Linked DNA regions of Drosophila melanogaster. The protein of the gene in region 2 purifies or fractionates together with the protein of the main gene of each other region. This does not show direct contact. Each region holds a gene or a part of one and is shown on either strand. Other genes may lie near its edges. The genes, in order: CG31249 and CG5913.

Region 1 (12,078 bases), 8.2 Mb from region 2:
CAAATGACCAATAATTGACTTTTAATTTTTGATCAGGTGCTTGGCAAAGCGGTACCCAGCAGTACCGGCCACAATACCCATCATCGCCTGCTCCGCAAAACTGGGGAGGTGCTCCGCCACGTGGTGCTGCACCTCCGCCTGGCGCACCACATGGACCGCCCATCCAGCAGCCGGCAGGAGTGGCTCAATGGGATCAGCACCGCTATCCGCCTCAACAAGGTCCTCCGCCGCCACCACAGCAGCAACAGCAGCCTCAACAGCAACAGCAGCAACCGCCGTATCAGCAGGTGGCTGGACCTCCTGGGCAGCAGCCGCCTCAGGCGCCGCCACAGTGGGCACAGATGAACCCCGGGCAAACTGCGCAATCAGGAATAGCACCTCCGGGCTCACCACTTCGCCCGCCCTCGGGGCCAGGCCAGCAGAATAGGATGCCCGGCATGCCAGCACAGCAGCAGCAGTCGCAACAACAAGGTGGAGTTCCGCAGCCACCGCCGCAACAGGCATCCCACGGCGGCGTTCCATCGCCAGGATTGCCACAAGTGGGACCCGGTGGAATGGTTAAGCCACCTTACGCTATGCCACCGCCACCATCACAGGGTGTTGGTCAACAAGTGGGCCAGGGGCCACCCGGCGGCATGATGTCCCAAAAGCCACCGCCGATGCCGGGACAGGCAATGCAGCAACAGCCTTTGCAGCAGCAGCCTCCCTCGCACCAACACCCACACCCCCATCAGCATCCACAGCACCAGCATCCGCACCAGATGCCGCCCAACCAGACTGCCCCCGGTGGATACGGTCCTCCAGGAATGCCCGGAGGTGGAGCGCAGCTGGTAAAGAAGGAGCTGATCTTTCCACATGACAGCGTGGAATCCACCACGCCTGTACTTTACCGAAGAAAGCGGCTTATGAAGGCGGACGTGTGCCCGGTGGATCCATGGCGTATATTCATGGCCATGCGATCTGGTCTGCTGACCGAGTGCACGTGGGCACTAGATGTGCTTAACGTGCTATTATTCGATGACTCAACAGTCCAGTTCTTTGGCATTTCAAACCTGCCCGGCCTGTTGACTCTGCTGCTTGAACACTTTCAGAAGAATCTCGCCGAAATGTTCGACGAACGGGAAAACGAGGAGCAGTCCGCTCTGCTGGCGGAAGATGCGGATGACGACGCGGACAGCGGCACTGTGATGTGCGAAAAGCTGCGTACCAGCGGACGGCAACCTCGATGTGTGCGCAGCATCAGCAGCTACAACCGCAGGCGGCATTATGAGAATATGGATCGCAGTGGCAAGGATGGAGCTGGCAACGGCAGCGACTCAGAAGACGCCGACGAGGGAATTGATTTGGGTCAAGTGCGAGTACAGCCTAATCCTGAGGAGCGCTCACTGCTGCTCTCCTTTACGCCCAACTACACGATGGTCACGCGAAAGGGTGTGCCAGTGCGCATACAGCCCGCCGAAAACGATATATTTGTGGATGAGCGCCAGAAGGCGTGGGACATAGACACCAACCGCCTGTATGAGCAACTAGAACCCGTAGGTAGCGATGCGTGGACGTACGGGTTCACAGAGCCAGATCCCTTAGACGGCATTATTGACGTCTTCAAGTCGGAGATTGTTAACATTCCATTTGCACGCTACATCCGCTCTGACAAGAAGGGGAGAAAGCGAACGGAGTTGGCTTCCTCATCCAGGAAGCCAGAAATAAAGACGGAGGAGAATAGTACCGAGGAACAGACGTTTAACAAGAAACGGCGATTGGTTAGCGGAGGCAGCAGCAGCAGCGGAGCCCACGCCGAAGGCAAGAAGTCCAAGCTGACGAGTGAGGAATTTGCCCAACCAAACGCCGAAGTCAAAAAGGAGCCAGGTACGGCGGACAGCGATTGTCGCCCCGTTGATATGGATATCGAAGCACCCCAACAACGTCTGACCAATGGTGTGGCACCCTGCTCCTCGACTCCCGCCATCTTCGATCCCCGGACGACTGCCAAAGATGAAGCGCGGGTGCTTCAGCGAAGGCGTGACTCCAGCTTTGAGGATGAGTGCTACACACGAGATGAGGCGTCGCTCCACCTGGTCAGCGAGAGCCAAGACTCGTTAGCGCGGCGCTGCATCGCTCTCTCCAATATCTTCCGCAACCTGACATTTGTGCCCGGCAACGAGACGGTGCTGGCCAAGTCTACCAGATTTCTGGCGGTACTTGGTCGACTGCTGCTCCTGAACCACGAGCACTTGCGGCGCACACCGAAGACGCGAAACTACGATCGCGAGGAGGATACGGACTTCAGTGACTCGTGCAGTTCGCTGCAGGGCGAACGTGAATGGTGGTGGGACTATCTGATTACCATTCGGGAGAATATGCTTGTTGCCATGGCCAACATTGCTGGACACTTGGAGCTGTCGCGCTACGATGAGCTAATTGCCCGCCCCTTGATCGACGGCCTGCTGCACTGGGCCGTATGCCCGAGTGCTCATGGACAGGATCCGTTCCCGTCATGCGGACCCAATAGTGTTCTCTCGCCACAACGACTGGCACTCGAGGCACTTTGCAAGCTGTGCGTGACGGACGCCAATGTTGACCTCGTCATTGCCACTCCACCATTCTCGCGTCTGGAAAAGCTGTGCGCCGTGCTCACCCGACATCTGTGCCGCAACGAAGATCAGGTGCTGCGAGAGTTCTCTGTGAACCTGCTGCACTACCTTGCAGCTGCTGACAGCGCCATGGCTCGGACCGTGGCGCTTCAGTCTCCGTGCATCTCATACCTGGTGGCCTTCATCGAGCAGGCCGAACAGACGGCGCTAGGCGTGGCGAACCAGCACGGAATCAACTACCTGCGCGAGAATCCTGACTCGATGGGCACCAGCCTGGACATGCTGCGGAGAGCAGCCGGCACCCTGCTCCATCTGGCCAAGCATCCGGATAACCGGTCGCTGTTCATGCAACAAGAACAGCGGCTGCTTGGTCTGGTCATGTCGCACATCCTGGACCAACAGGTGGCTCTGATTATTTCGCGTGTTCTTTACCAAGTGTCGCGAGGAACAGGGCCTATTCACTCCGTGGAGTTCCGTCTGCTGCAGCAGCGGCAACAACAACAGCTGCGACCTGGTCCTGCAGGGAAGCAAGCAGCCAGTGCAGGAGGAAGTGCGACAGTAAAAGCGGAGACTGCATCGACGGAAACGAGTTCCACTGAAGCGAAGCCCGCACCAGCAGCCACTACGGCAGTGGTCAACGATGAGAACAGCAACAGTAGCCAGCAGTTGCCGCCGGCAGCGACGTTCAACGACGTCAGCAACAGCAGCACCAACAGCAACAGCTGCGGTACGGCCAGCAGCAACCAGACGAACAACAGCACCACCAACAGCAGCCACAGTAGCAGTGCAATCAGCAGCCAATCGGCGATCACGGTAGCCGCTCCATCAGCAGCCGCAACAGGAGCAGGATCAGCGACAGCAGCAGCGATTGCCAGCGATCAGCAGCAGGTGAGCAAGGTGGCTGCAGCTGCGGCCGCTGCTGCGGCTTTAAGCAATGCCAGTGCAGCGGCAGCAGCAGCTGCGGCGGCGGCAGCTGCTTCCGTTGGTCCGCCCACATCGTCGAGCGTGTCCGCCGGAGCAGCGGTCGCTCAACCAGCGGCACCTCCACCAACCAATGCAGGAACAACGACAGCCGTTGCGTAGTATACGACAATGATGCCAGCGTCCTACTACTGGCCACGAACCCCGCGAGGGGCAGTCGACTAAGCTGGCGTTCGGTGGTTGAACAGCGGGCCCAGGAGCAACTCCGAAGTGCAAGACCAGAAGATGATACCTGCATCCATGTGGGGTGGGCATGTAAATTTACTTAAGTATGGCGCCAAGAGAGAGAGAGAGAGTCACGATGTGCGAGAACTCGTGTCCGAACTCTAAGGATACGTAAACGGGAACTCAGCAGGTGCAGCGCCTGCAATGTATCTGCGATGGAATGGCTCGCCAATCCATCACTGTAACAGTCAATACAATAACAACTGTATATTTTTTCACTCAAATCTAAAAATAGTAAATATGATAACTAAACCTAAACCCTAAGCATTAAGAAATTGAAGCAGCATAGTTATGATCATTCGAAAAGGAAACTGTTCGGAGCAGAACCACTGATACTAACCGATCGAGTTATAGGATCGGGGATTATTATTGAGTCGAACGTGAAGATAGGAAACGGAGGATAACAAAGTTAAGAGCGAAATTCAAGCACACAGCATACTTATTGTACTAAATTTAATAAAAATGAAGCGACGAGCGAGGAGGAATAACTAACACATACATATGCATACGCACGCTACGGTTTATCGTATATTAAATATATATATAAATAAATGCATAAACTAACATTAAATTACATGAGAATGAATTGTGTATGTAAAAGGGATGAATGCATACATACGTACATCTAGACATTGATATATAAATACATAGAGGATAGTTTTTAAATTCTACCACTTACTAATACCTACATATTACCACAATGTGCAGCATAGGAACTCATAAACTGATCGAACTGAACGAACACCAAAGTTCACGCGGAAATATTTAAAAGCAACACGTATATAAGGCAGTTTATTGGATTCAATGTGGTCTAAATGTTGCAGAAGGACGAATCCTTAGAGATGACTAAAAACCATTGTACATACTTAACTATTATGTAAATTTCACTGTATTTTTGTTTTTACGCAATGTTACAAGGCACATGTAAGTGGCAGCACTGCATTTTGTATTATGTTTATGTGTATGATGTTGTATGATGTATTGATGGGCTGCGAAAATTCCAACTTCTTAGTTTTAATCGCATAACTCGGAGGCGAATGGAAATGAAATTAAGCGAGAGAAACAAGCAAACAAGCAAAAATGAAAAACCCTCAGATGAAGGCAAGCAAACAATTTAAATTGAAATCAAATTAGGTGATATAATATATAAAAATACATAACATATACATACATAATTAATATAAACGAAACATGAAAAATCGAAAAAATGAAACCCTAATGCTGTAATCTTATGTTAACTGTATTATTTGCTGGAAGTGCTGCTGCTTCGTTTTATTTTATATCGAACTTACTTAAGGCGTAAATGACAAGATAAATAATTAGGTTTTTATCTTAATCTTAATTTAAAATGCAAAACAAATAAAACCAAGAAAACAAAGCAAAACAAAACGAAACCATAAAATGCTATAAAACACAAAGCGAAGCAAATCGAACTAAAGCTGTAGAGAAGCACGCAAAAAGGACTAATAACCACACATCCACACCCACACCCAAAATGCTTGGCGTTAGGAAACCAATAAACAATTAATGCAAAACCATACATGGGTGGGTGCACCAATTTGTATACTAAACTTTCTCACACATAATTAACGTGCTACATAAGAGATCGAAAATGAAATGTCTCCAGATTCTGGCATGAGCAAGTCTAGAGGTCCTTCCGGTTTCCGGTGGCGATCCTCTGGATCCAGAGGAACTGCAAGATATTGGGAGATAATAGGAAACTGCTGCTGTTGATACGTGTATTCGTGTAGTTGTTTGCAAACAAATATTATAACTCAGCATCTCGATATATAACGTGTAGTTATTAGTCTATAATTTGCTAGGATGTAAATGTATGTCCCTCAAACTTAATTTAATTATTTAATTAATATACATACATATATGATATACAATACAGCCTTTGTACTTGTCGTTTCTTATCGCTGATAAGGGAAAAATATTTTTTGGCGGGGAAATACTTTTTAGAACTCATTTCGATTTTTTCAGTGCAAATCAATTGGTCAGATTGATGAATCCTATGGTAACGCATTCCCAAAATATTTCTTATTATATTATTATAAACTATATTGCTTCTGTTCAGCGTAGGACATTCACTGTTGAGCGAAAGATTATTATATAAATGTATATTCGAGATAATATGCAATTGAGCACCTAAATACCATGTCTAGGTTTTCAAAAATGTCTAGTAACAAGATCTTTTGTCTGTTATTAGGCTGTACTTTCAGCATTGAGGTCGATGTTACTCGATTGGGAATTTGTGCATTGTATTTACAATGTCAATTTGTTCAAATTTACAATTTCAAAAATCAATTTTAAAAGAACTTACATTAATATTAAGAATTCGCGTGTTCCGGGATAAATTTGACTTTTTTAATTAATTGACAATTTTAATCGGTCAATGAAGAGCTTTAAAATTGTATTAATAGTTCTTCAATTAATTGAATAATATGATGTGCAAAAAAATAATTATCGGAAAAAATACTTTTTGACAGTAAGTAGTTTCTTACAAAATATTTGATTTAAAAATTATATATCGATACTTTTTCGAGATTATTAAATTCGAACAGCTTTATCACAGCAAGTTGGCAGCCCAATTTCTACGTCGATAAGTCCTCTCGTTTAATGTTCCATCCCTTAAATTTGGGCGATAAGAATAAGCACAGCCGGCTGTAACATTTTTTGTAAATTAACAGAGCGAATCGATTTTTGTATAGTAATCCGTTGAAAGCATGCTGTCGCTCAAGATGAAACTCGAGGTACTGGGTCGTCCCGATGTTGACATCCCGGTGGTGATGAGCGGTAATTGTCTAGTTTTCCTGATGGGGCTATAAGTCATCCCATTCTTTTCGTTCCGCAGACCGCAAGGAATTCGCCAACACAGTCCTCTGGTTGGAGGACCAGAAGATCCGGCTTTACTCCATAGAGGATCGCTGTAAGCTGCGCACTGTCGACAACCCTGAGATCTGGAAGGAGGGTTACTTAAAGTACTGTGCCGATTTGAGCATGCCGCCCCTGGAGACGCGGCAGGAGCAGCTGGCCTGGATTGTCAGCTATGCTGTGCGCCTGGACTTCCTCGATGATCCTGATCAGTTTGCCTCGATTAACACCAAACAGGTGCCACCCCAAAGCAATGGCAAGCAGTCCCAACAAAGGGTCCAGGCTATTTTCGATGGAAATATTAATAGTATGGTCTGATTTTAACTAAATTTACCATTTAAGGAACTTTAAATTTATATATTATGGATTTTTTAAGAGGTTCCAAAAACCACTTTTATTATCTATAGATGATAATCAGGTAAAGTACAACAAGTATTAATTCTTTCTTCCCACCAGCTCAGGAAAAAGCGTTCGTGGATGGAGTCCGGCTGCTGGCCAGCAAACTGAATGTGCCGCACCACCCGAACCATCTGTTGCAGCTGGAGGCTATCGCTCGCGTGGTGCACGAACGCCTCTCGCCCGCCGCCAAGGATCGCAAGCCGGTAGTGGGTAAACCCTTCCCTTTTGACAAGGGAAACGACGTCGTCTCGTCCAACGACTCTGCCCTGGACCTGCCCATGCGCATACTACGTCTTCTCCAGATCCAGAGCCTACGCGAGCTGCAGACACACATCAATGAGACCATTGTGGCGGTGCAGAACATCACGGCCAATCCAAAGACTGATACCAAGCTGGGGAAAGTGGGATTCTAGACGATTAACAGTAAAGGAACGCAATCGACACAATATAACATAAAAGGACATAAAGAACATAAAAGTTTTAAAATTGCATCTATAAAATATCCTTTAAAGCCAAGCAACAACATTTAGCAGAAATCAATAGATAGATCAACAGCCAAGCTATGAACAAGCAAACACCTTTTTTGAAAGCTATAAAATAAGAATCCTGTTGATATTTTATAATATTATTATTAATACAAACATATGTTTATTTATGATCCTCTTTCAAAAGATGCAATATTGTGTATGCCTATGTAATTAATTTATTTAAAATAAATCATAAATTCATTAAAGCAAACAAGGTTTTGTTTTCAACGATTTTAAATAGAAAAAATTCTAAAAACAAGGTTACAGCTATATTATTGTAATGCCACATGGTCGTACAAAAGAAAACATTAACCTTTATATATTAAGTGACTCTACGATTATAATTAAAACGTCATTGAATTAACGTCTAGAAAAGAACTGATGATCAGTGCTAGTATTTTCCTGTTCTTTTGGCTTCTCGGCGGTTGCCTTCAGGAAATTCGCGTCTGCCAGGCGGGCCACGCCCAGAACTCCAACGGCTATGGCGACGAAGGAGAAAGGAGTAAACATAAGACCGGATTTAAGATCCCAAGTGGCTCACCTGCAGCCAAGCCTTTCATAGTGAAATTCTCCAGAGGTTTCGCTTGTCTTTTTTTCGACTGTGCCAATAGGAAGGCACCAATTCCCAGGAGTCCAAGGCCACTGACCAGACGGCAGGCCAAGCAGTCCACCTCGTTGGAAACGTTGTCCTTGTTCCAAAAAGAAAGTCTACCGATCATTTTTAAAATTATTTCAATAATAACAATTTGGGAATGGATTTGGAAAATAAGGCGACAACTATCGATATACCAAGTTTGTCGCAGGGCTGCCAACTTGATTGTGTTAACTAAACTAGGTTTTTTGTTAATTCGATCAACAAATGCTTTATTGACCTTATTTTCTAATAGAACTAGATTCCTATTAATATTATATATGTTGACCACACTCTAAAATCTTTAATATGTATCTATCTTTTTAATAGCTATCGCCGATTTAAATGCATTGTTATCGATAGACGTGAACATTAGATGTTAAGTTAAAAGCGGCCGGTTACTATTCTTACAAAAATGGACTTTCAGCGAAACGATGCTATGCTCATGGAAATTCTGCAGGATCGGAAAACTATTACAGGTTTCCTGGACTCCATTTTCGGATTTCTGCGACGCAAGTAAAAGATTTTATCTCAAGATCCTTAACAAAACTGTAGTCCCACTTCCCTTTTTAGCACCGACTTTTATCACACAAAACGCGATGAAGCGGATAAAATAGGCTTCCCCAAAGGCGTGAGGGATCAGATTCTATATGGCGCCATGCAGCGCTACGATCCGGATTGCTTGCTACAATCCCTGACCGCGGAAGGCGGTGCAGATGATGGAGAAACGGCTCCGCCTGCCGTCGAAGAAGTGGTCCTGGAAAGCGAAGATGGTCCTCAGGACGAGGAAATGAAACCCATAGAGAGCCAGCCGCCACAAAAAGGGAAGGAGCAGTCAAAGTTCTCCCCCAGCGACTACAAAAACGGAGATGTGTTCGAAACGCACTGCTGGTCACAAACCCTCAAGGATGTGGAGGTGCAGGCTCTGCTTCCCAAGGATCATCAAACGGCGAAGAAGCTGCACATTTCAATTCAGGCCCAGCACATCAAAGTGAGCAGCAAGCATAGCCCAGAGACGATCATCCTCGAGGGAAACCTGAGCCAGCGGATTAAACACAAGGAGGCGGTGTGGACAATTGATCAGAACCGATTGATCATAAGTTACGGTGGGCATTCACCTAAAACATCTTTATAAACCATTTTCATAAACTGTATATAACTGTAGATAAAGCAAAGGAGCTCTGGTGGGATCGGCTCTTCGAAGGTGATCCAGAAATCGATTCCAAGAAGATTGAATGCGAACGCTATATAGATGATTTGCCGGAGGAAACCCAGGCCACCATAGAAAAGCTTAGGGTCCAGCAGTTGGCAGCAGACAAGCAACAAAATGAAATTCAGACCTCAAGTCCCGACCAAGCTATAAACCTGGATCGCCTGAAAGCTGCCTGGGATGCCGAAGGTTCGCCGTTTAAAGGACAGCCCTTTGATCCTTCTATCGTAAGAATGAGTTAAATTTTAAAATAATTAATTAAGCTAGCAATAGTAGTAAAATAGTAAAAACTGAACCATATATATTTTTATATATCTTTTAGTTTTTTCATTATTTGTTTCGTTCTGATTCGGAAACTGAAATTGTTAGAAAAGTATTATTCAATACAAACTCATGTCAACTTACAACTAGATCTTAGTAAGAACACTTTTGAGATTAAGTTTACTTGGCCTTCAGTTCGAGTTTCTTGCGCTGCAGTTGAATCTTCTGATAGGCCACATCCTTCTGATCTGTGGACCAGGCCAGGTACATGTAGGTGGTCAGCAGCAAGGCCATGACTAGCCGATCCACGCTCATCACATTCGTGGCGAACAGGATGACCGACAGGCCCACAAACGAGGGATGTCTGACATGGGCGTACAGATTGCGCAATTCCCCGGATTTGTAGCTGATGGGCGGTCCGTAGGCCTTCAGATCGTAGTAGGCTTGCTTGACGCCCAGCAGCTCTGGCAGATCCATCACCAAACTGCCGCCAAAGATGACAACCCAGCAGATGCCATGGGTGATCACGAAGGTCCACCAAAGCGGAGCACTCTGCTCCACATCGATTTGCCACAGAACAATCGACTGAGCGGGCAGCCAGTTGACGATCAAATACTGAAATGTCCAAAGTTGCAGTTGGGAGCTATTTCTGTCCAATTTGTGGGTATACAAACATGTAAACAAAGCGATGACGTCAGGCTATAAATAGTGCGCTCCGCACCCGACAATCCCAACTTGGCCAACAGCTTCTTGACCACGGCTGACTTGAGGAAGCTGTGCTGGAAGATGAATCCGATCAGGTAGAGGGTATCGAACACCACGGGTCCATAGGCGGTCTGCAGGCGCGACTTGTTGTCCAGTAAATTGAAAATCCAGGTGTGCGCCTTGGAAATCGAACGAGGCGTCGAAAGGAACATCATCAGGCTGCCAACCACGTACAGGGAGTAAGCGAACGTGGCCAGGGATGCCAATAGTACTATGGACTTGGCAATCGATGTCATTTTTGTCAGGAAAATTGAGAAAATAGCTTGTTATTTCGAGATAATCAAAACAAATTCAATGAACGTTTCGGTGAGCTAATCAGTGCGACCATGGCACAGTCGCGATAAAATCTTCGGTGAAGAATTTCAATTTGGTTTGTGTCCACGATAAAAACATCGCTCTCCCCACGTAGCGTGTCTCGGCTACAAAAACATAGCGCATTTATCCGGCGGCTTGAGTCATCGCTAGTTGTCCAAATTTAGGACTATTATGTGACTGGCGCGATTTTTGGAGTATGTCGCCACGGTCACTCTGTTTGCAAATGTTTCAATTTTCCCACTAACGAAAAAGTGTAAGTCCGCAGCCGAAAGGCATAAGAAAGTTGAGAAAAAGTTTAACAGTTGCAAGTAAGAACTGGTTTGATAAAGCGTATCTAAATCCAAGCAAAGTGATGAAAAAACTGTCGACGCGACAACCCAACACACACACACACTCAAACAGGCGCAGCGCTCCGGCACACATACACAAGTGGCTTGCAAATGGCGGATGCGTTTCCAACAAAAAGAAAAGAAGAAGGAAAAGAAAGACTGCATTGTAAATGTGAAATGTTGTGAAAATTGTTGACGTTGCAAGTGGCTTAAAATCGGCTGAAAATCAGCGTTAGAAGTATAGAGACTGGAGATAAGAAGGGGAGAGCGGTGTACATGTATGTGTGTAAGTGCAGTGCGACGCCCTTTTGTCTTGAGAGGAAAAAGGAAGCCACTACTTTATTTATCGGTGTGCAATTATTCAAGGTGCCAATTAGTAGTCGACACACTTTCACTGCTCCCCATTGCTTAATTATGAGCAAAGGGGACAGCTGACTGCTTTGATTTGCCAAAAATCTCGGGCGCCGCCGTCTGGCCGGGGCCCTGCCCCCGCCCTTTCCCATTTGTTGTTCGCTGATTTTATCAAAGAAAAAGACAAGAAATGAGCATAATTGATGCGCTGACCTCACCACACACACACACATAAGCATATGCGGGCTTATCAAAGGAGCGAGAGCGGAGCAGAGCTCAAAAGAGAGAGCGGAGCAGAGCAGCTGCAGTCCAATAAATCATAGACTCAAAAATCGTTCGTCATCGGGGAAAACCAATTGACAATCAACAAATGCTATCGACGTCTACGTCAGCAATCAATAATCATTAACCGCCAGCTTTAGACAATATCAATTTGCCTATTTATAGCCTTTATGAGTCACTCCACATTTTAGACCAACCTTCCATCTGTGGACCAAAAGAAAAAATTAGGGAAACGAACTTGGAACCTGACGCTCCCACGCAGGAATAACAAGAAGACACCACACACCGCAAAAAACATGCCACGCTTTCTTTCCCACAGAGATAAATAAAGCAG
Region 2 (12,027 bases):
ACCAGGATTAGATCCTCATCTGCAGCCCTGCTACTTGGCTTATCCAGGATATCACCCTGTGGCAACTCAGAGCGAGCAGATCCGCGGTAACTGAGCACGGCTCCTTGATAAATATTTCGATTCTCACACTGCTCATAGCCTTTGATCCTGATCCAATAGTTTTTCTTGTACTGATTAGCTTCCAAAACGAAATCAAATCGCTCCGCGGAGGTCAAGAAGAAACCATCTGCCAGCACGGGTTCAATGTCATTACCATCGGTGCTGATCATCAAGAGCCTGTGCTGTTCGATGGAGAACTCCACAGGACAATTGGCTATTCCGTTCAGGATAACTCGCATCCTATAGCGATAGCCTGGAGTAACTCGAAGTCGTTCATACCGATGACGGTTATCATTGTCGGGCAATTGGCTGAGATGATTGCGACCCTTTCCGTTCACCAGAATATTCCGTACATCCTGCAGGTTGTATTCGTAGAATATATCCTGGATCATAAGGGTGTGCTCCACAAGATCATAATCATAAAGCTGTGAATGCTGATTCTCCTGACTGGTTTGGCGCACTACAAAGGCACCAGCCACTCCGAATCCCCGCTGCCAACCCACATGGCTGTGGTACCACAACGAACCACTTCGATCCACTTTGAATTCGTGGCGCTGAACCTCACCGGGCTGCAAAGGATACTGGGTAATGAAGGGTGCTCCATCCATTTCGGGAGTTCTATGCATATGCACTCCATGCCAGTGCATCGTTGTTGGCTCACTTAGATAATTCAACACATCCACGACAACAGTATCGTTTTCGCAGAGCTCTATGGAAGGTCCAGGAACCATGCGATTAACAGCCATCACTGGATTTGCCACTCCATCGCCATAAATACAATGCTCCGAAGCACAGGCCCTCTCATCGAACTGGCATCTCTGGCACTCCGGTCCGAGTCGCTGGTAATTGTGCACCACCAGTTGGTAGTAGCAGTTCTGCGATTGGCCCTGCTGGCAAACTCTTCTGCAGGGATGACGATCAAAGTCCCCAAAGTTGGCCAACTCCATCTGGCTGTAGTCGTTCTTCAGATCCAACGCGGGTGTACCCTTTGTGGTTTTATTTCGCATCCAGGCAAACGAGGGCCATTCGAACTTGGCCTGCGGGAAATCGTCCTTGGAGGACTCACATTGAGACGGGTTTGAAGCGAAAATCAGTAGTACTATCAGCACCAGGCTGGCAAAACTTTTACTTTCGCGTTTGGACATCGCGAACCGCCACGGGCAACTGGCCACTCGATTCGCGGGCAGCCGACGAAGAAAGTTTTGGCCCATTGGGCGACCCAGACCTTTGCGCATGCGCCGCACGTAATGGCCATTAAAGCTGAGCTGAATTCGATAAGCTCGAAAATAATATTGAGCGATCAAGTTGAAATAACCCAACAGTTTGGCCACTTATAAGACTCTGGCTGTAATTTAAATAAATATTATAATACCATAAATATATTTCGAATTGATGAAAAATAGGCCACTGATGCTTTTCATAACAACTATGCCGAAAAATATGATTTGAAAGCACTATATATATGTTTGAGCTCGCAATGAAGCATACAGATTTAAGTGAACATAACATAGTAAAACAAGATGATTGGACACTGATCACTGACTCTGATCAAAGCCTCAATTGAGTAACTACAAATTATTTATTAAAGGAATGATATAATTACAAGTTAAATCTCTGGATTTTCCATTGCAGGTGGTGCTGGTGCAGCTGTTGCCATACCTGATGAACTGGCGGCTGTGCTCATAATACTTATAACCCCACAGGCGATGGCAGGACCCAGTGAATTCTCCTCGTTCTGATAGGCCAGGGGATTTGGCATGGCTTGCAGGGAGGAGGAAAATACCTCTGCATTTAGGGCAGTATTCAGATCGATTGCTTTGCTGTGTATCACTATGGAACGCCCAACGATCCCATTGATGCCAAACAATTGCAGGTAAATGCTCTGAAAGACCGCCGAGATGCTGCCATCATCCTTGGTGTCCACATTACCGAGCTGTACAACTCCAAAGGCTTAATTAAATCACATAAAATTTAAAATCATTTCCACTGGATCTTACAAAGTTATTGGGAAACTGTCCACCGGTGGACTTGCAACCATCGCTGAGATCGCCAAAGGTGTGAATATGCAGGGCATGTTTACCGGGTGGCAATCCAGTCACATTGATCGTCACCCTAATGTCCGAGTTGTAGGGCAGCTGCACAAAGGATATCATTCCGGCCACGCCCGCTCCTTCGCCATCGCCCATCAGTTTTGCACCCGCCTGCCATTGAGGCACCAACTGCTGGAAAATATAAATCAAATATAATAAATATTATAGTATAAAAATCAAGATCAAACTGCTTAAACAATTCAAATGTTGGGGTAAAAAGTGTATGGCTTGCAAAAAAGAGAATAGTTATATGCAATTAGCATTTCACATCATTATAAAATTAAATGGCAGTTGCAAAAAATGTGCGAGTGGGGGAAATACACATTCTTTCATTGAAATTGAATCTGCACAATATAATGTAATTCTATGGCTGGAGCACAAAAGAAATCTAAACGCTTAGTTAAATGACTGTGTAATTTACAAATTATGACGGGGTCATAAAGTTTAATTTGAAAACCATAAATACTCACATAGGTGTATCCCAAATACGACGGCTGAGGAGGCAGCAGAGGTCCCAAAAGGCCAGCGGCTCCTGGAATGCCGACAGGACCACCCAGCGGAACCGTCAGGCGCTCATAGCGCTTCACTTTGGTGCCGGAAACGACTTTAATGCCATCATCGAAGCGGGTCATATTCACCGGACGCAGTCGATCCAACAGATTTTGTGCACTGCCAGGCGCAAAAATGCCGCCATAACCAATTACCAACGCCAATATCAGTTTAATGAGCATTCTAAACTGGTTAAGTTAGGACTCGAATGTGAGAAACTTGCGACCTCACCGTTCTGGGGCTTCGGTTGAACTGATCCAAGCGCCCGACTCGGCTCATCCATGATGACTTCGACATGGTTTTCACGCCGATTGACCACGTTAATTGTCACCGGCCTGCGGATCGCAGTGGTGGCGATATATAGACAGATATATAGCCGGCACATTTGATGACTAGATTGGAAGCTAATGGCAATCGAGTGTCGCGTGTGTCTGGGTCTGATGCCTGGTTACCTGCCACATGGGCGTACTTCTTGCGGGGATTGAGGGCAAGATCACAATCCCATTATTGAGACGTTCAGAAGCGGTTGACAGTTCAATAATATCGAAGCATAGGTAAGCTATTATAATTATATTACCACAAATTGGAACAAAGTACTGATGAATTTATAATATAGTATATATGCGTTGACGGTCTATAACTAAAGTTTAACTAGATCATCGTTAAAGTGTATATCTAGTATGCAATATTTTGTAACAAAGCGTTGACAGTAATGTACTCTATTGAATATTTAATTTTTAAATTAAACAAATGGTAATACCAAATATACGTCACAAACTATATAATATAATGCTGTAATAATAATTCATTAGACTTAGTCCGTTGCCCTCATTATCTATCTGATTAATTTGACTATAATGTGAACCTAAAATGGCTAATCACGAACACATTGAAAGTGAAACACCTAACCCAGATTCCCAAAAAGCGAAATCGACACGCGAGATTTGCTGGCAAATAGATGGCATATTTAGTTTATTTTATAAATACCTGCCCATTTGCAATAATTAACAAATTCGTTAAATTTCGCAATAAATTAAACTGGGGTATGCGTGCGATTAAAGACATGTAATGTTAGTAGTTTACAAGAGGATCAGTCGTTTATGGTCTACATTTTTGGGAATTAGGGATCATCGGTAGCCGCCACGGTATCCTCCGCGACCGCCTCCACCTCCTCTGCCTCGTCCTCCTCCATCACGTCCTCCTCCATCACGTCCTCCTCCATCACGTCCTCCACCATCACGGCCGCCTTGTGGATTCCAGCCTGTACCCTGCACACGGCCACTCCCGCTGATCCATTGCTGATCATTTCTATCGCTGCGGTCACGTTGTTCGTAACTTTGGTTTTGATGTTGCTGCTGCTGCTGCTGAGGCTGCTGCCAGTTGCCACCTCCACCTCCTCCTCCACCTCCTCTTCCTCCACCGAAGCCGCCACCGCCGCCGCCGCCCCTGCCTCCTCTGAAATTACCTCCTCCACCGCGTCCGCCACCTGGAGGACCACTAGCCCTTTGCTGCTGCCACGAGGGCATCTCTGGTGGCGGAGGAGCATGCTCATTGGCCCTGCCTCCGCGATCGGGTACCCGACCAATCACATGCTTTTGGATTTTGGAAGCCGTATTCTTTCTCACATTCGCTGAGCTTGTCTTCTCAATGATGGCCAGATCTGAGCGAGCTGCCAACAGGGCGACCAAGTCGGTTTGCTTTCCGCCCACTTTAAACTGATCCAGCTCCCTCATCTTGCGATTGAATCGATCCATGATCTCATTGGAGCGCTGACGCATAGACTCCGACCACTGAAAGCTTTGTACAGTGGCCTCCAGACGCGTGGACATCATCTGCCTGCGCAAATTGTACTCCGCCTCCAGTTCTCGGTGCAGGGTCTCCAACAATTGCCATTGTGCATCAGTCAAGGGCTTCTTAAGCTTCAACAGCGGTTCGCTGAGCACTTGGGGATTGGTTTTTTTAATGGCCTGCTCCAAGCGGGGAGTTATCTTCTCGAAAAGCATCTTGGTATTGATGTTCTTAGGCACTTCGCCCAGCTGAAGATCCTTGGCTAAGTTTTCGACAACCTGTTGGACATTCGTGTCCACCTTCGATCGTTTGCAGGGTGGACCCACGGGCTGGGCCTTCAGAACCATTTTGGTGGTCATCAGTTCGGATGTGAGGTACTCCAGCAGCTGCACCAGTGCCATACGGCTCTTGAATCGCTGCTCTATGGGTCCCTGCACCAGCTCGCGGTACGGGCAGCCAAGTTCCGTGAGTAGCAGAGACAGCTCGAAGGAAAAGTCTTTGTTAAGGGCTTTGCCCTGATTCACCCGCTCATCGGTTTTCCGCAAAATGTGCAATTCGTGGGCGAGCCAAAGAACCACCTCTTGCATGTCTGGACTTTCAATACCCGCGTCCAGGGCACGACTCAGATTTTCCTGCTTTTGGCAGTGCCCTTGGAAGGACAGCGCCTTCAGGGAATCCACCAAATACAGTTCCAGATCTTCCATATCCTTCGAGAGTTTCAGCTTTTCCTCGAATTGTCAACTTTTTGCCTCTCACCGGCGTGGCAATGTGACCATTGCTTTGTGGGTCGGAAATATCAAAAACTTTTCCAAAGCCAACCTGCCAACTTGTCAAAATAGCGCTGCGAGGTTAGCACGGGCACATACCATGCAAATATTTTGAAAAACATTTTTCGTTACCTTATTTCAAACGAATTTATATATAATATAAAGACTTGGTAAAAGTAATTAAAATAACCACTTTAAAACCCAAAGCCCAAATGAAAGAAGACCGACGTTGGTTTACTTTTACATAACTTCATTTATTGTAGTTTACCAATTTCAATATATATTTATGTATATATAATTTATATTTATAAGTATGGTATATATGTATGTATTTTTGTTTTGTAAAGCAGGAAGTTTTAGGATTCGCATGAGTCGCACCTTTGGTGCCCACAAAAATCGTACAATTTTCTTTTGCGTTTTTTTTTTTTTAGGTTCTTCTTTTCTATACATACAACATTGATGTACTTAAAATGAACACACACATTTAGCTATATAATGTATACATAATAATGTTCAGTTACTTCATGTCTTCCAAAAGAGGTACTAACTAAAATAGAAACAAGTGAATCAAGAAAGCAAAGAACGCACATTGATGCGAAAAAAAACACAATTTTCCTCTCCTTTAGGACAATGATTAAAATGGCACAAAAGTAAAGTTCCGCTGGTTAAGCCGCGAAATGCAGTTGATGATCGATCGCGCGGACTTAGGTGAAGCTGTACTGATTATCGACGGCCCGTCCGGTGCACTCGGCTCCTCCACTGGATCCCGATCCGCCTCCTGCTCCGCCGCTGTTGCTGCCGCCATCGCTGGGATGCCGGTTGCCGGAGGAACCCGCCTGATGGTGGGCAGCTGCCTGAAGGGAGGCGTTCGAAGCCCGCAGATGTGGCTGGTCCAGGAAATTCTGGGCCGGTGGCGGTGATCCGTGCACTGTTAGCGTTGTGGGATCCAAATGGAAATAGACTTGCTCCGGAAAATAGACGTGTGTTGGCTCCTGTGGCAGTTCGATTTCATTTGTCTTTAGGCGAACACTCAAATTCATGGTAATCACTTCGTTGCACTGTTGGAAGAGTATTTAAAATAAAGTTTAGTTAGTCTGGAGACTTTTTCGGGGCGGTCTGGGGTGTGTGGTGAAACATGAAGCATGCGACAATCAAATCAAACTAAACACGAACTAACTAAAATACAACATATTTACTTGAAACAAAGGGTTCCAAAATTCATTTATCCGGTTTTGAAATATGCAAGTTATAATTTAGAATTTTAGCTTCATTGATTGATTAAAGTTACTATTGGAATCAATCTTTGGATTTTTAAAACAAAATGTAAGTTAGTTACTAAGCTCTAGATTCATCAGTTCACAGTTCAAGCCCCATCCCAGTTGATATGAAATGATAACAACTTAATTGAAATCAAAGTAAAATAAAAAACCATCACTGACACTGAATTGACTCCAAAATTTTGGCTATCTCACATGTCTCGGCGACGGATGGCCACCGCCAGCAGCTCCCGATGCAGTTCCTCCCGCCGCATTCGATGCCGTCGATGAACCCTGACCATTATCGTAGCCATTGCCGTTCCCATTGCCATTCCCATTTGTCGAAAGATCGTTGAGTTGTCCTGAGTCATGATTTGCTGCCGTCGTCGGGTCATTCAGTCTGCTGTGTGAGTGCACCCATTCGGTAAGAGTCACATCCGAAGTGCCGCCCGATTCCAGTGGTATCGGGTTGTGGCGGAAGTGTTCGAGCATTTCCTGGATCGAGGGAAACCACAGGTGCTGCACCCGACACTGACCCTTCTCCGAAATGGTGAGCCGCAAATGCTTGGCTCGTCCTTGGAAGTTAAAGGTCAGAACGAACTCGCCGCGGCGCGTTTCGCTCTGTCGCACCAAAAAGTATCCATGTCCGGCTGCATCCGAATGGAGTACCATTCTGGCAGCTTCTGATCGCGTCAGTGTGCCGTGGAACCAGGGAAACACGCTCATCTCAGCCGTCAGATCCGCCACATCTGCATCATTTTCCGTGCCCTCGATGCCATCGAAGTTGCTTGAGGCGGACAGGCGCTGTTCACCTCGATGGGGTCTTACAGGTATGTCAGGTGGCCCGGAGGTCGGTGAGGTGCCCAATTCGTTGATGACATTTAGTTCGCTGGCAGAAGTGGCTCCTCCCTGGCCCAAAGCACTGTCTGCAGACAGCGATGAGGTGAGCGGAGCTCCACCTCCCACCAGATTGCCATTCGAGCCGCGCTGCTGCTGGTACTGCGGATTCTGAATCCCACCAATGGGATTGGGACTCGGAAGTGTCGGCGATGTTTGCATGGCGGACGCCATAACACCATCCGACTCGATCGTTGGCTGCTGAGTGGGTGGCGTTCGCATGCAGTACCGTATTGTGGCTAGCCAACTCCGCATCTCCTCCGCGCTCTCCGCCTCAATCACATACTCCATGTTGTTGTCTGCCTTGAGGACGAATGTGTTCAGCCTGTCCGGCATCTCAAGTGCCGTTGTTTCGCGAGCCTCCGAGATGAGGAAACAAAAGACTCCACTGCGCGGCTTAGTCGCCTTGTGCGGCGTGTAAAACTCTAGCATGTAGCCACCCACGGCCTTGACCAGTACAAGTCGACACTTCTCCCACTTTTGGGAGCCCGTCGGTTGATCCAGACTTTCCGGCGTCAGGTTGTTCACTGTGCCCTCCTTCCGGCACTCCACAACGATCTTGGCCAGCTTCGTCTTGCTCTGCTTGCCGCTGCCACCGCTGCCATCCAAGTCATCCGAGTTCTTGTGGAAGAAGGCCTGCAGCAAAGAGATCTTTGACAGTTAAAACAAGTGGTGACAATATAGCCGGAGTTTCCGACTATAAAACATCCTGGCACTGAAAAGCTTTTTAATCAATGTGAAATACTTCATGATCTGCAAAATTGAAAGAAAGACTTGCATAATTGACAGCATGTTCTGATAATCATGACGTATTCAACAAATCAAATAGAAGATAATAATACCACTTCAGTGAGGTCTAATCGGACTTATGGACAGAATGCAAAGAATGCTAAAGTGAATGCTTTTATCTGCATACTTTTAGTTCGTGATTCGTGACCTTCTTAATGGGTATTATCGGACAGAAAACAACAATCATGTCTAAAAAAAAAGTATAAGCATCAAGTGTGGCCTCGAAATAATCAAAAATCAATCTATTCAATGATTTCGAGAGGATTTGAGAAGAGCATCAACTCACCTTGCCCTTGCGCAGTCCTTTGAATGATAGTCGTCTTAATAGAGACTTTGAGAGCAGTTTTGGCACCTCGTGCTCCTCCTCGAAGTCCAGCGAGCCCGCACCTGATTTAAGAGTGCTCCTCCGCTTGAAGAACTCCGTGTCGTAGTGCGCCGAAAAGGATTCCACAAATTTCTGAGCAAAGCTGCGATGCTGGATGTTCCTCGCCTCCTCCGGCGGCAGATTGCCATTAATGTACGTGATGCACGCCTTGGCGAAATCCGAGGCAGCCACTCTGGCGTGTCGTTCGCAGAACTCCTCCCAACTGGTTCCACCGTATGCATACGAAGACACTCCCATGGCGTTGCCCGTGCCAATTGGTGCGGGTATCAGGTCACTTCCTGCTGCTGCTGCCGCTGCCGCCGATGAAGTTCCCAGGCTGTGATGACTGCTGGCCGACGTGGGCCCAATGTAACCGCCAGCGCTGAAGGCGCTCGTATTCGCTCCTGTGCTATTGCCACCCATTTGGCCAGGTGGTTGCCAGTTCCGCTGGTCCAGGTCCTCCTCCTGCTCCTGCTGCCGCTGCCTCTGCCGGTTCCGGTTCAGTTTGCCACACGAGTTACCCAGCTGGAGTCCGTTTCAAAAGCGCTGAAATGTTAGACAAACAATGCGATCGCGGTTTAGTCGAGTTACTTCGCAAAAACAGCGATCATTGCTGATCGCTTTGAAGAATACAAAAGCATTTATAGTTTAGTTGTTATATGTATTATATATTGGGCCGATGTGCAACGATCTATTTCTATTCTCTGACTCACAGGATTAAGGTTTTCAACGAGTTGGGGGAATTTTGGCAACTTTAATTCTAGAAAACTTGATAAGAATTAAGTGCTGACCAAAACAAAACAATAAAAAGTTAGCTTTGCTTGCTATTTAAACACAATATTGATTTTACAAGCCTGTTTATTGAGTTATTTAACAGCCTGACTTATTGATGGCGCAAAATGGTATATTTTCTTAAAACACGGGTATGCAATGTATATAATGATAAGCGCCCAGACTTAAGCACATATTTTTGTTCATAACAATGTACACTGAAGAATTTTGCATTTATGTAATGAATATTTACGCATGTTTGCACATTACATTAAGTAACACGCATTTTCAGTGCCACAATTAATCCTTTTTCTCGGCAATTAAAAGTAAACGAAAACAAACTTGCGGCGTAGCCCACACACACCCACTCACACAAATGCGAGGGCAGACACACACACCCACACAGCGGCGCGGTGGTGAAAAATTTCCCACAGGAATTTCCACGCCTACGTCACATCGCAATATGCGCGTGGAACACGCTTATAATATAATCAAAAATACTATTGAATTTGCCACTCGACACATGTAAATAACTCACTTTGCGGTTTAAGTATTATCTAAATGCTCGGCATCTTTTTTATGCTTTTATTTTTCTACACAAAGTGCATGATATCTCGCTCACACGCACACACACACAAACACACGCACATCCGCTCAAAATATTCTTTTGCGTTGTTTTGTTGTTGCGAGCAAAAGGAAGTGGCGAGTTAGTCAATAACTGAAGTGCACATACACTTGTTTGTTGTTAATTCGTAATCATTGGTTGCCAGTTCCGCTTGAGCTACCGTCTGGTTGCAATATTATTTATCACTGATTTGTTTGTGTTTTTTGCGATTTAAAACGAAAAAACCTCGACCGTGAAAATTAGAGCCGGACGAAAATCGATATGCATAGTATATATCTATCGATATTTGTTGTATCGATGTTCTTTCTGGAACGTAACCCCGCTAAATGGAGGTGTGTACTCGCTAACATGAATTTACCCGCTAAGTTGTGACCGCTCGCCACAGAAAACCCGATTACCGCAAGGTTGTAAACTTTGGTAAGCAAAATGGTGGGAAACTTAGGAATATTTTGGCGCCAACATTTAAATGTAAGGTTTCAAAAAAGATCTACCTACTACATTACAAAAAGCGTACATGCTTCCAATTTTTGTAAAAAACGCTTATAGGCAATGTTGTTTTAAATCTCACATTTTTATTGTTTCTATACGTTTCGAAATTGCATTTACTTAAAATTAATATGTAACTATCGTTTCCATATGCATACAGTATTTATTTATTTTTAGCTGCGTTAATAGTAAATAATTAAAATTCTTGAAACTTAATTTTGTGAAACACACGCAGTGCAACAGTTGTCGTCTAGCATTATTAATTGATTTATTGTTTGCAACGAACACATGCATTTTGGCAAAACATCATTATGGTTGTGAAGATGTGTGGGAAACATTGGGTGACAAAACGAAAAAATCGAAGGACGGAAATGAGCGTGTGAAACGGAAACGGATCTCGATTAAATGTGTATGAAGGCGAGCTTACTAACTATTATTTGTTGCATGGTGGTTTGTTATTATTACACATAACTTAAGTATTTACAGAACGTACTGCCCGGAACAGATTTCGAGTGGATGATGTATGATTGAAATTCGAATCTCAAACTGTCTTCTTGCTAGTCTTTTCGCTATGGTTTACAGAGTTATTAGTAATGCCTATTAGTTAGTAACTAATATTTCGCTTGACCTTTGTTCTACTCGCTAGTTATCTGCATGATTGGAGACATTAAAGCCAATTTGAATGAACTCTCGTATGAAGTATATATATATGTGAATATATAAAACCTTTCCGCTTAGGCTAAAAACTATAATTACTCGGTTTTTGCTTTTATTTCACTATGAAAACGAGGATCACCTAACTTAAAACGAAACTTAGTTAAGTTGAGTTAAAAAATACATACTCAATACGTTATTTAAGAGACAAACGTTAGTATTAGATCTTATGTGTGTGTGTTCTTCACATTGTATGCTGTTGGTTTTTTGTTTTTCTTTGCTTTTAGATAGAGTACACTCAGACTTCCAGTTGTTTTGATGGTTGTTGCGCGATAAACGGCTCGCTCCACATGCGCCGCAGGTCGCCCTGCAACAAGTAACAAAACATTACAGATATCGACCAAATTCGGAACTATTCGAGCATGGAGTATACCTTCAGATACGCCATCAGCAAGAGCGGCAATAACGTAAAGGGCACTAGATACAGCAGCGCCGGCTGGGCCGCCTTAAAGACCTCGGAGCTGACCGTCGCCGTTAGCAGGCCCAAGAAATAACTGCAATGTAATGGAAATTAGTATTTATATATATTTTTATAAGTAAGCAATTTTTCGTATACTCAAACATTCCATTTATTCAACAACTTACCCCAATAAGGAACAATGAAAGTATGTCAACCGGGAGCCAACTCCTCTGGGTGGTGACAATGTGGGATCCGATGTGACGCCCTGCGCCTTCTTGTACGCATCATACCGCAAGACGAAGCACAGCAACAGGCCCGGCATCACCACATCACCCAGGCCCAGCATAGAGAAGTGACCGGTATTGTGCAGGCTGGGAAAAACAAGCTTTCCGGGCAGATTCAGCTTTGGTGTGTCCCGCACAATGCCACCCA

What was found.
Region 1: the proteins of CG5913 (region 2) and CG31249 purify together in Drosophila melanogaster (affinity purification with mass spectrometry, with the first as the bait; one large-scale study listed by BioGRID). This does not show direct contact.

The regions. Positions count from the first base shown.
Region 1 is NT_033777.3:17,681,414-17,693,491, reverse strand, and holds CG31249 (uncharacterized protein), read left to right. Parts: upstream 1-6,420; 5' UTR 6,421-6,526; coding exon 6,527-6,596; intron 6,597-6,654; coding exon 6,655-6,981; intron 6,982-7,130; coding exon 7,131-7,486; 3' UTR 7,487-7,803; downstream 7,804-12,078. Other genes in the region: osa, read left to right, coding at 37-3,674; CG31360 (uncharacterized protein), read right to left, coding at 7,961-8,079, 8,142-8,319; CG31251 (uncharacterized protein), read left to right, coding at 8,647-8,747, 8,805-9,337, 9,397-9,683; CG7655 (uncharacterized protein), read right to left, coding at 9,883-10,317, 10,377-10,703.
Region 2 is NT_033777.3:25,886,773-25,898,799, reverse strand, and holds CG5913 (uncharacterized protein), read right to left. Parts: upstream 5,306-12,027; 5' UTR 5,231-5,305; coding exon 3,866-5,230; 3' UTR 3,774-3,865; downstream 1-3,773. Other genes in the region: Mco3 (multicopper oxidase 3), read right to left, coding at 1-1,310; Sodq (sodesque), read right to left, coding at 1,706-2,032, 2,097-2,321, 2,660-2,920; Lnk, read right to left, coding at 5,998-6,351, 6,766-8,097, 8,522-9,022; SppL (signal peptide peptidase-like), read right to left, coding at 11,434-11,502, 11,569-11,689, 11,781-12,027.